Pelodiscus sinensis: one gene and its partners. The protein of the gene in region 3 purifies or fractionates together with the protein of the main gene of each other region. This does not show direct contact. Links are inferred from orthologs where the notes say so. Each region holds a gene or a part of one and is shown on either strand. Other genes may lie near its edges. The genes, in order: RHOC, EZR and ARHGDIA.

Evidence for each region.
Region 1: the proteins of ARHGDIA (region 3) and RHOC purify together in Homo sapiens (affinity purification with mass spectrometry; 4 studies listed by BioGRID and IntAct, with this or other methods). This does not show direct contact. The link is inferred for Pelodiscus sinensis from reciprocal best matches to the Homo sapiens genes ARHGDIA and RHOC.
Region 2: the proteins of ARHGDIA (region 3) and EZR purify together in Homo sapiens (co-purification; 3 studies listed by BioGRID and IntAct, with this or other methods). This does not show direct contact. The link is inferred for Pelodiscus sinensis from reciprocal best matches to the Homo sapiens genes ARHGDIA and EZR.

Annotation. Positions count from the first base shown.
Region 1 is NC_134737.1:2,011,148-2,014,892, forward strand, and holds the start of RHOC (rho-related GTP-binding protein RhoC), read left to right. Parts: upstream 1-969; 5' UTR 970-1,045; intron 1,046-3,745. UniProt on the Homo sapiens protein: Regulates a signal transduction pathway linking plasma membrane receptors to the assembly of focal adhesions and actin stress fibers.
Region 2 is NC_134713.1:112,895,022-112,898,766, reverse strand, and holds the start of EZR (ezrin), read left to right. Parts: upstream 1-1,339; 5' UTR 1,340-1,496; intron 1,497-2,217; exon of another isoform or gene 2,218-2,251; 5' UTR 2,252-2,333; coding exon 2,334-2,345; intron 2,346-3,745. UniProt on the Homo sapiens protein: Probably involved in connections of major cytoskeletal structures to the plasma membrane. In epithelial cells, required for the formation of microvilli and membrane ruffles on the apical pole. Along with PLEKHG6, required for normal macropinocytosis.
Region 3 is NC_134730.1:29,724,258-29,728,002, reverse strand, and holds the start of ARHGDIA (rho GDP-dissociation inhibitor 1), read left to right. Parts: upstream 1-1,021; 5' UTR 1,022-1,178; intron 1,179-3,745. UniProt on the Homo sapiens protein: Controls Rho proteins homeostasis. Regulates the GDP/GTP exchange reaction of the Rho proteins by inhibiting the dissociation of GDP from them, and the subsequent binding of GTP to them.

The DNA of each region.
Region 1 (3,745 bases), on a different chromosome or scaffold from region 3:
CCTGCTGTGTAGACCGCGCCAAAAGACAAATTAAGCTATTTCAACTGTGGCTACGCAAGGCATTTAGGACAAGCATTGTCATTGACTAGGGCTTTAGCACAAGGCAGATGTGTCTGGGTGCACTGCGATATAAATGATAAAATATTAGATGGGCAAGATGGGTGTGATATGTTTTACTGGACCACTTCTGTTGGTGAGAGTGGAGCTTTGAGCCACAGGTAGCTCTTCTCCAGCCTCCCAGCTAAATGCAGGGGAGGCGGCCAGAGTGGGCCCCGGGGTGTGAGTGTCTTGGGGAGTTCTTCCTGCAGCCACTGCTCTTTCCTCCCCCTTCCCCTCCCCCTCCCCGGCTTGTGCCCAGTCTCCCAGCTCCCCCCGCCAGCACCCTGTGAGCTCCTCCTCCTCTGTCACCCCCACCCCGTACCCCACCCTGTGCCCCCGCCAGCACCCTGTGAGCCCCCCTCCTCTGTCACTCCCACCCTGTACCCCACCCTGTGCCTCCGCCAGCACCCTGCGAGCCCCCCCTCCTCTGTCACCCCCACCCCGTACCCCACCCTCTGCCCCCGCCAGCACCCTGCGAGCCCCCCTCCTCTGTCACCCCCACCCCATACCCCACCCTCTGCCCCCGCCAGCACCCTGTGAGCCCCCCTCCTCTGTCACCCCCACCCTGTGCCCCCCCTGTGCCCCCGCCAGCACCCTGCGAGCTCCTCCTCCTCTGTCACCCCCACCCTGTACCCCACCCTGTGCCCCCCGTACCCGGCCAGCACCCTGCAAGCCCCCCTTCTCTGTCACCCCCACCCTGTACCCCACCCTGTGCCCCCGCCAGCACCCTGCGAGCCCCCCCTCCTCTGTCACCCCCACCCTGTGCCCCCCCTCTGCCCCCGCCAGCACCCTGCGGGCCCCTCCCCCCTCTGTGACGCCCGCTGCCCGTATCCCCGGGCGGCCCCGCCCCGCAGTACCCGGCGGGGGGGCGGTCCCGGCCGGCCCCGCCCTGCCCGGCTAAGTGCCGCTCGCCGCGGAGCCCGAGCAGCCGGAGCCAGCGCCCCAGGTACCGCGGGGCGGGGCTGTGGGGAGCGGGGGGGGCTCTGTGTGCGGGTACCCGGTGCCTGAGGGGGCTGTGGGGTGAGGGGGGCGCTGGGGCCGGAGGGGTTGCGGGGGGGAGCCGGGCTGGGCTCTGGGAGTTCGGGGTGTGGGGGTGGCAGGGCTGTTCTGGGGGTCACAGGTTGTACAAGCGGGGGGGGGGGCAGCCCTTCTGTCTCCTACTCTTATTGGGGGAGGGGCTCTTACCCCCCTTCTCCCGGGCCGGGAGCCGCCCCCCCCCCCGTGCTGCAGGGGGGCCCAGCTCTGTCTCAGCACAGCCACTGATGCGGGGCAGGTGGGCAGGAGAGGCTGTGCTAGGTGTGCCCGTCCTCCCCTGGAGTGTGTGCTCAGCTGGTGGGGTGGGGAGGGAGACCAGGCAGCTGAGCTGAGCAAACATCCCAGGGAGCCTTTCCCTGGCCAGCTCTTGTTCAGCACAGCTACTTCCCCTGCCTGGGGAGCTGCCGGGGTGCAGAGCAGGAATCTCCGCGTCCCTGTCTGTCTGTAGGTCCAGCACAACCAACAGTCCTGCGGCACCTTAGAGACTAACGGGCGTTTGCTGTGGTGGGTACAATCCACTTGTTAATCAGCCAGTGCCCACTGCTTGGGCTCCCTGGTCGCGCTCAACTGTGGCATGCCCCCAAGCGACAGAAGTTTGCTTGAACTAAGCAGGCTGAAATGGTGGTGGTCTTCCCCATCTCCTCCCCCCCCCCCACACACACACTTGGCTTTTCTGTGTGGGAGCACGCTCCTGGGGTGCATTTTCATGTCCTAGGTGCTGTTTCCTAGTGCTAACAAACAGCATGTCCATCTCCTCGAAGCCTGTGCTCCTTGCTTCCTGTAGGTAGCCTTTAAACATGTGTGTTAGGAGCTTTGTAATGGCTTTGGAGTACAGAAGCATTCCAAAACCATGACTGCGCTGCTTTCTCCAGCCCTAACCGTCTGGCAGCCAAGCCCCTTGAATCCAGCCTTGGCCTCCTGACAACGGGAGCGTAAAACAGTAAGAAGTTGTGAATCAGTTTAGAGTGTGCAGTCTGACTGGGAAACATGTTGTGTGCTGAGACCTCAAGCTGATGGAAACTAAACTGGGTCACAGATAAAGAAAATGTCACCTTTTATGCAAATTGTGAAAAGGTTTAAATTGTGTTACAGGCAATAAACTATTTAAGGGCTTCAGTTATGTGTTCCCACTTATATTCCACTTTCAGTCACGCTTTATTGTCTCTGTGCCAAGTGTCTGCTGGCCTCCCATAATTTTCCTTATAGCTACATGTGAGAGCTAGGGGTTTTAAAGTGGAGTCCTAGATCTAGTAGAAGTTATTTGCTTGCAGAGGTTCTATCAAAATGGAAAAAGCACAGAGTTATGTGACCCACTTCCAAGAGGTTATCAGAAGTTTGTGTAAACAAAACCACATTGTAATCTTCTGTTTGGCATGGAATGCCATGAAATGTAAGGAATGTATTAGACAAATATTGATTGGCCCAACGCGATAGCAGTACAAAACTAAACAGGTAGAAACTGTTCCTGAGGCTGTGATGTATTATTGGGATTTGATATATCACGTACTACACATTCTTATTGAAGAATAAGAAACCTATGCTGCCTTAGAAACCTTAATGTGGAGGGGGAGTTAAGGTCTGTGTTGTTCTCCCCCCTCCCCCTAATTTTTTCCCATCCACGTGCAGATTTTTTCCATCCATATGCGAAATAACTTTTTCTATGTGCACTGGGGCATGTGTGTATGTGCACCACCAGTAGAATCAGAGACCTGGCTGTGGGTGCTCCGCTTATGAGTGGGGGGCATTTGAATCCCTCCTGGGTGACCGCACAAGCACACTGCTTACAAGGATCACTGGTTAAGGTGTCTGTAGACTCTAAAGCGTGGTGGGTTGTAAGAAGGTTTCCTGTAAGACTCCTCTCCTGGAAGACTGAGATGCACTGCAGTGACATCAGCTGGCTCTGGATGTTGAGCAGTTGTTTGCCTCACTTGAAAAGCAATGCCGTGGAACATAAACTTCCACAAGTACAGCTGCCGTCAGCTGAACTCAGACGTGACTTACAGCCACGGAAGTTACGATCTTGCAGCACTTCTCAGAGCAGGGAATAATCCTCGCGTCCTGCCCAGCATCCCTCCCAACACAATGTTATAAACAAACCGTTGTGTGCGTGCCAAGTGTAAAATGGCAGCCAGGTGAGCCAGCAGGAATCCAACGCACTGCTGTGTCACGCATGGGGATGCACAGAGCAGGAAAGGTGGTACTGCATAGAAAGCCAAAATCTGGTCTTTCAGGGTTCCTGCATCACATGAGATCCTGCTCAGCAGGCACCTGATTCCTGGATGCTGCTGAGAATTAATTTATTTTACAAGGAGCTCTTGCTCTGCCATTTGTTTAATGAAGAGCCTTCTAATTGGCAAGCTGCTTCATAAGCACGTCCATACAACAGGTGAAATGCACAGTGGGTGTTGCCTTTGGGGAAAAGACATGAGGGCAAGTCTTGGACCAGGGGACACAAGTCATGCTGACTCCAGATGGAGTCAGAAAAAATGGAAGAAAGAAAGCCGTCTTCAGATCCTAGTAGGGATGTGAGCAGCTAGCTGGTTAATCAGTAAATCTTGCCCATGCGCTTACAGTTAACCAGTGGGGGCTGCTCCAGCCCTGTGCATGAGGT
Region 2 (3,745 bases), on a different chromosome or scaffold from region 3:
GCAGGACTGAGCAGACTGACTAGCCCCCCTGCCAGCTCATCTTGGGGGGGAAGCGAGGCTGGGCTGCCCAGTGCCCCCACAGTGGCTCCTTGCAGGAGGGGAATGGGATTGGAACTGGGTTGCCTGTTGGCTCCTTGTAGGGGTGGGGCTGGACTGCCCAGCTCCCCTCAGTGGCTTCTCATAGGGGTTGGAGCCAGGCCTACTGGCTGGTGGGATTTCTGAGCCCCTCCCCCCCCATCCGGTGTTATAGCAGAGAGCTGGGCGGGGGGGGGGGCACTTATCTGGGTCAGTGGCTGGCCACTCTCTTCCTGGTGCAGCAATCTCCCTGTGGTCACTCTGCAATATAACTGTCCCCTGTGCTCCCTGCGGTCATGGTGGAGCATAACTGTCCCTCCTCTCAGACCCCTCCCTTTCCATGTTACAGAAAACAATCGAATTCCAAGCACATCCCCATTGTCCTGGCAAAACCAAGCCTTGACTTGCTTTAAGTTAGGATACCAAATTTGGTGGTCCTGACTCTAATCATTTTGGAGGAGTCCTCTCAGATAGATGCACAAAATCTCTAAAATATATAAACAGAGACACTAGTGTGTGAAGTCTCATAACGGATGGTTCGCAGACTTTCCATTAGATAAAGTTTATTGGTAAAAATTAGTGACAGAATAATTAATCACCAATATCACTTCCGCAGAGTTCCATGCATTCTCAAATTTAGCACTACATCCCTGACTATATCAGTGACATTACACATACAAATGAGCTAGCCAAAGCAAGTGTCAGAAAGTTTTCTTAAAGTGTGAAAAAATCTGGCTGCACAGTAATCAAACCACTTCCATCCATGAAAATGTGAAGACTTTCAAAAAGACAACCAAATTCCCCCCTTTTATAGTAAGCATGACACTTTTCAGCCCCAAAGGATAAAGGAGGGTAAAAAACGGAGACAAATATAAGCGCACCTCCAGAAGTGCTTGCAATGCAACTGCTTCCTCCCATTACCTGAAGGGAGAGGAGCACAGCACACGGAGGAAAAGGGCTGGTGGGAAGGAGAATTTTTGTCCAAATCCCAGTAGCCCTAAAACCAAACAAAGCCAAGTCTGGGTAAGTTCCCCAGGCACGTGTGTTGCTTGTCACTGGAGGCTCGTTCCTTTGCTTTGCTTCTTTCCCTTACGCTGGCGCAAAGAACGCGCGTCCCTGGCTGCTCCCTGGCATGCCCCGCGGTGTTTGCCCAGGCTCTCCAGGGGGAAGATGGGCGCCAGGCTGACAAGGCGCCGGGAGGGCGCTCTGCATTCGCGTGTGGACGCGGGGAGCCGGGCTCGGGGCTGTCTACACAGGGGAAGGCGCGGCTCGGGGGAGGCGGGGCCCGCTCGGCCATATTGCAGCAGTGGGAGCGGCGGGGCGGGGTCAGAGGCGCGCACAGGGAGCCCAACCCACCCTCCGGCCGCTGCCAGTCCAGTCCGGTCCCGGGTGTTGCCCAGTCGCCGCAGGGAGACAGCCGGGTAAGGGGTCTCCCAGCCGGAGCCGGGGGAGCACGGGGTGGCGCAGGCAACAGGTGTTGCGGGGCTTAGCGCGCGTCTCCTGCCGCCGCTCGGTCTCCCCGCCTGCCTGGGGCTCCCGGGGCCAGGTGCTGCCTGCAGAGCGGGAGCAGGCGAGCGAGCCCTGCCGGGTCGTGGTGTCTGCGGACCGTAGGCTAGAGCCCGCCTGAGGCTTGGCCGGGCTCCCTCCCGGTCCTTGTTTTAACTTTCAGGGCAAAGGGAGGCAGCTGCTGGGCCCCTCGGGCGGGATTCTTCTGCCTGCCCTCCCCGGGAGTCGGGGCAAGCTGCTTTGTGAGGGAGGGTCTCGGTGCTTCTCTCCGACCTGCTGGCAGGCAGGCGTCGGGGGAGCGGTCCCTGTGTTGCAAACCAAGGGCTGACAATGGTTCCAGTTTCCGCCCCCTCCTCCTTTCCCAGGTTATTAATCTTATACCGCTTAGGAAAGGTGTTGAAATTGTACTTAGGCTTATGGGTGTGTCTGGCCCAATGACCTTCTCTGGTTGCAGATGGATTTTTTTTTCCCCCACTGGGCGAGGTCACTTATGTGGTTTTTTTTTTTAAATAAAATAAAACCAGTGGAGTTCCCTAGTAATTGTGGGTCACGTATGAATCATCTTTGCTGCTCTCCCTCGTTATTTAAGAAACCGAACTGAGATTTTAAGCTTCTTTTACTTTACCTCCTCCTCAGTAAAAGAGAACTTTTTCTACTCACCTGTTACCAGATTTACGAAAAAGAAAAAAGATCTTCAAGCCACTGCATGACCATTTGTTTTTGGAATAACAGAACCGCTTTAAGATCTGAAAATGCCCAAACCGGTGAGTGATACGTTTTATGTCTTGTATCTTGTGGTGTTTAGTATACATTTTTATGTTTTTATATTAGTAACTTACTTTTTTTAGGTGACTATTTCCTTCTAATAATTTTCACAAACCAATCACTCTATAGTATATCTGGTCTCAGTTCTCATCATCAAAGGAAATCTGAGCAGCCCCTTCAAAAGATGAGCCTCGGAGCTTAAATGTGTAACAGTTAGACACTAAAAAGAATGGATGGAATAATTGAGACACTGGTTTATAACCATCTATAGTGCCACTTTCCTCTCAGCTATCTCCCTCTGTCTATTTTTTCCCATGACTAGAGGGGTGCTAATGGTCTCTTTCATCTTGAATGGTCCTGTGAAATAGCTATTAATTATTTTTGCTAAACTGTCTGTTCCACCTTGTAATTAACTGCAACACCCTGAGTGTATTTCCTAGATCCAAAGAAGAGCTCTGTTTAAGCGGAGAAGCTTGAATATCTTACCAACAGAAGTTGATTCAAGAAAATATATTCAAGAAAATATATTACCTCACCTACCTTGTTTTTTTTCTTTCTATGTTTAGAAGGATTATATAAATTAATACATCGTAATTTGAGTCCTCCATGCCAGTTCCAAATTGTTAGAAGAGCAAAGCAGCATGATGAACCCATATATCCATCCAACTTAAAAATCAAATGTTGGGTGGGGGCAGGTGGAAGTGAGGATGTACTTAAATGACACACACACAATGTTATAATTCTAACAATCAGGAATAGAAGTTTGATCCTCCAATTAATTTAAATGTTAAATTATTTGTTTAAACATCTTTAATTTTAAATTTTTATACTAGTATTTATATACCTTAATTCAACTATGCAAAACTCTACTACCCATGAGTAAGTAACTGTTTTCAGTGGGCAAAAATATAATTAATTTTGTTTGTTTATGGTTAACATGGATGAGCAGAAGTTACACCTTAGCTGGTAAATTTTTTGTATTTTTTCAGCATTGCTTTAAAGCTGTGTATATACATGCATTCCTTCATAAAAGAGCTAATATATAGCCTGTGGATTGATAAGTTTCTGAGGCTATGTCTGTTTTTTAGTGACTTACATGTTTTGGCTTTTTTTTTTTTAAAAAAAAATTCATTTGCTATTGAAAATAATCATTCCAAAAGAGAAGAATTATACTTTGTAAAGCATAGAAATGATTCTTTCTAAATGCTGTCAGTATGAAGCCATCAGAACCAAAGAATTTTCTGGTTCCACCACAATTTATATCTGAAAATGGGTTTAGTAATGGACTTAGACTGGGGATGGGAGGCTTGATAAAAATGATACTGTGCTCTTTGGAATGATATTGAAACTAATATGGGAAATTAAAATTCACTGAGCGGGTCATTTCTAGGACAAGCAT
Region 3 (3,745 bases):
AGTTACCTTCCAGCTCTTTGGGGAGATGCACTGAAGGAAACCTCAGCTTGTATGTGTGTAAAAGCAAACCTGGCTGATTATGTAGGATACCTCTTCTACCTTCCCAGTAGTGCTCAAAATGGAAAGGAACTAACTGTAGAAATCAAGAGAAAGCAAATCCTACACATGGCCCTTGTGCCAATGCAACCAGGAGCATTTCATTTGCCTACAGGCCCAAAATATAATTGACAAACTATGAGAACTTTTCAAGACTTGCAAGGCTAGAGAGGAGAATTTCTACATCAGTGGGAGGTAGGATCACTGTTCATTATTCCAGAGCAAAAACAAGCAATGAGTTAAGTAGACTTTTCAGTGTGGAAAAGTTGATTGGGATCTGCTGATGGATCTTGGAGCCTCTGACAGGTGATCCTGACTGGTTTGGCCAAGAGGCTATCAAGTGCCAGCACTTCAGTTGCCCCTCTCCCCCCCACTGCTGTGCACCTTCTGCCCTTTGCCTTGGAGCTGTCCCCTCAGGAGCCTCCTGCTTTCTGGGTGCTGATGCCCCACAGAGCAGAGAGGGGGCACAACAGGACTTGGGATGGAGTTTGCTGGCTGTGGGACAATGGAGGGTATTGGGGGGGTTGCAGACCTACGGACAGTAGTGACGGGTCTCGAAGAGGACACGCGCACAGCGGGGGCGCGGCAAGCGGGATCCCAGCCCCATTCAAACACGGCGAGGAGCAGCCCCGGGTCTGCGGGGCAAACGGGACCGCGCAGGACTCGCCGCCCGGGCGGACGCTCCCTCGAGCGGGGGGGGGGGCCGGGCGGGGGCCTGGCTCGGTCCCGTGACAGGCGGCAGCGCAGAGACGGGGGGAGCGATCCCCGCCGCCGCCCAGGGGTCTGTCGGGGCAGGTTCGCTTCCGCTCGCCCTGCAGAGACCGGAAGTCCCCCGCCCCCCGCAGCGGGGACGCTCTAGCTAGGCCTCAATCTCGCTCATCTTCGCCGTCGGTCGCGCGCCCCCTCCGCCCTCTGCCGGCCAATCAGCGTCGCGAGGCCGGCTCGGGAAGTGAGGCATTGGGCGCTGCCCCCTTATAACAGGAAGTGACGCCAGTGCCCCGGAAGTGCGGGAGCGCGCGCGGAGGCGGCTGGGCGGATCCGGGCGGCGTTGTCACAGCGGCGCGAGGAGGCGACCGGGCCGGGTAGGGAGGGGCCGCGGCGCGGGCGGGGGCGGGGCCTGCGGCTCGCGCCCAGCGCCCTTGTCCCGGGCTGCAGGGCCCGGGGGGCAGGGCTGAGCCGGATCTCCCGGGTGCGGCCTGAGGGGGGCCCGTGCAGCCCCTCCCCCCCCCGGGGCCCTGGTAACTGCCCGGCGCTTTCGCGAAGGGCCCCGCCGCGCGGGCCGAGGCTGGTGCAGCGGGGGGGGAGGGGCCCGCTCGGGGCGGCGCTGCCTGTTCTGCGAGGGCCACTTAATAAAGGCGCCGAATGTTCATTTATTTCGCAGGTGACGCCAAGCTGGGGGAGGTGGCGCCCTGGGGGCTGCAGTGCTGGGCCGAGTCCTGCTTGTGCCCCGGGCAGTGGGCGCGAGGCGCCTGATTGACGTGGTCTGGGACTCTGCCCCCCCCCCCCCCCCCGGCGAGCGGCACATGCGTGGCTGCGCCTCCGGGCGAGCACAGTGCCCCTTACCACTAGCTGCCTGGCTAGTGCCCCTCCCTTAACCCAGACCTGCAGGGCAGGGAGAGAGTCCAGAGTGACCTGGACAGAGTAGAGGATTGGGCCAAAAGAAACCCGATGAAGTTCCACAAGGACAAGTGTAGAGTCCTGTGCTTGGGAAGGAAGAATCCCAGCATTGTTACAGGCTAAGCAGCAGGTCTGCAGAAAAGGACCTGGGGTTACAGTGGGTGAGAAGCTGGATAGGAGTCAACAGTGCGCCCTTGTAGCCAAGAAGGCGAATGGCATATTAGGATGCATTAGGAGGAGCATTGCCAGCAGATCTAAAGAAGTGAGTATTCCCCTTTATTCGGCTCTGCTGAGGCCACATCTGGAGTATTGTGTCCAGTTCTGGGCCCCCAAAACTATAGAAAGGATGTGGACGCATTGGAGAGGGTCCAGCGGAGGGCGACCAAAATGATGAGGGGGCTGAAGCACATGACCTACTAGGAGAGACTGAGGGATTTGGGTCTGTTTAGTCTTCAAAAGAGAAGAGTGAGGGGGGATTTGACAGCAGCCTTCAACTTCATGACGGGAGGTTCCAAAGATGCTGGAGAGAGGCTGTTCGCAGTAGTGATGGATGGCAGAAGAAGGAGCAATGGTCTCAAGTTACAGTGGGGGTGGTCTAGGTTGGATATTAGGAAAAACTATTTCACTAGGCGGGTGGTGAAGCACTGGAATGGGTTCCCGAGGGAGGGGGTGGAATCTCCATCCATACAGGTTTTTAAGTCTCAGGTTGACAAGAGCCCTGGCCGGGTTGATTTAGTTGGGATTGGTCCTGCCTTGGGCAGGGGGCTGGACTTGACCTCCTGAGGTCTCTTCCAGCTCAATGATTCATATCTTTGTACTTCCCAACCAGCTAATATAAGGAATGCTTATTCAGCACTTCCTATACTATGCAAAGCTGCAGCAAGAGCTTCCTCAATTTTGTATAGTTAGTTTTTAACAAAGGAAGCTGCCATTTTCAGAGCTGTTAGGAAAGAAGCTGGAAAAACCATGGAAGAGATCGTCAATCATCTCTCTTCCTGCACCTTCAGATGGGGCTTTCACACTCTGTAAGCAGGTACATTAGTTTCCTCAACAACCAGGGGCACGCATTTCAGGCCCTCAGCTTTGAAATGTACTCTCTCTGACATTACAGAAGAAACAGTGGGGCTTAATTTAACTAGCCTAATAAGACAGGAAGGCAGAGCAGGGAAACCTCTTCCAGGTTCCTCATCACCTGAGCAATCCAAAATGAGTGAAAATACACCATTTGAGAGAGAGCACTTAACTCAGGGGTGGGCGAGCTTTTTTGTGTTGGGAATCACTAACCCACAGAAAAATCAGTCTGAGTCCACACACAAATAGGAAGCAGAGGGGAGGAAAAAACTAAATTGTCTCCCTGGGGGGGGGAACCCCACATCTCTCACCTGGCCTCCAAGTGAGGAGGAGGAAAAAAGACCCTCACCTCCAGCCCCATGGAGGGGTGCAGGTGCAGGGGCTCAGTGTTCACCCCAGGCCAGATTAACTCTTCTGGGGACCTGGGGCTGGTTGATTTTGTGGGGTCCCCTTAGGCTCTGGGGTGAGGGCCAAAAATGTGGGGTTCAGGTGTGCAAGAGGGACTGCTGGGGAGTGGCTCAGTCTTTAGAAGAAGGAATTGAGATGATGGGGAGCCACTCCCCCTTCTGGAGGAGGGTCTATTCCTGCCAGAGACAGAAGGCCTGTGCTCCTGGCAGAGATGGAAAGGGTCAACCAGTTAACTGGCATAGGGATGTTACATTTAATCCACTAATTGTCTAGTCAATGGCATTTTCATTGACCAGTCTATTAGTGGGGGAGCTGCGGTGGGGTTAGTTCCTGGGAGCTAACCCTGCTGCAGCTCTGCCTTTTAAATGTATGAAGAGCTGGAAGGCCCTCAACATATTTAAAAGGCCAGTGTACAGTGTGGGGGACCTCACGCGATCCGGGACAGCTGATTCCCAGCTTGTGCCAGGTCCCCCCACTGTGCACCAGCCTTTTAAATGTGTTCAGGGCTTGCTGGGTCTTAATTCATTTAAAAAGCAGAGGTGCAATGTCTGAG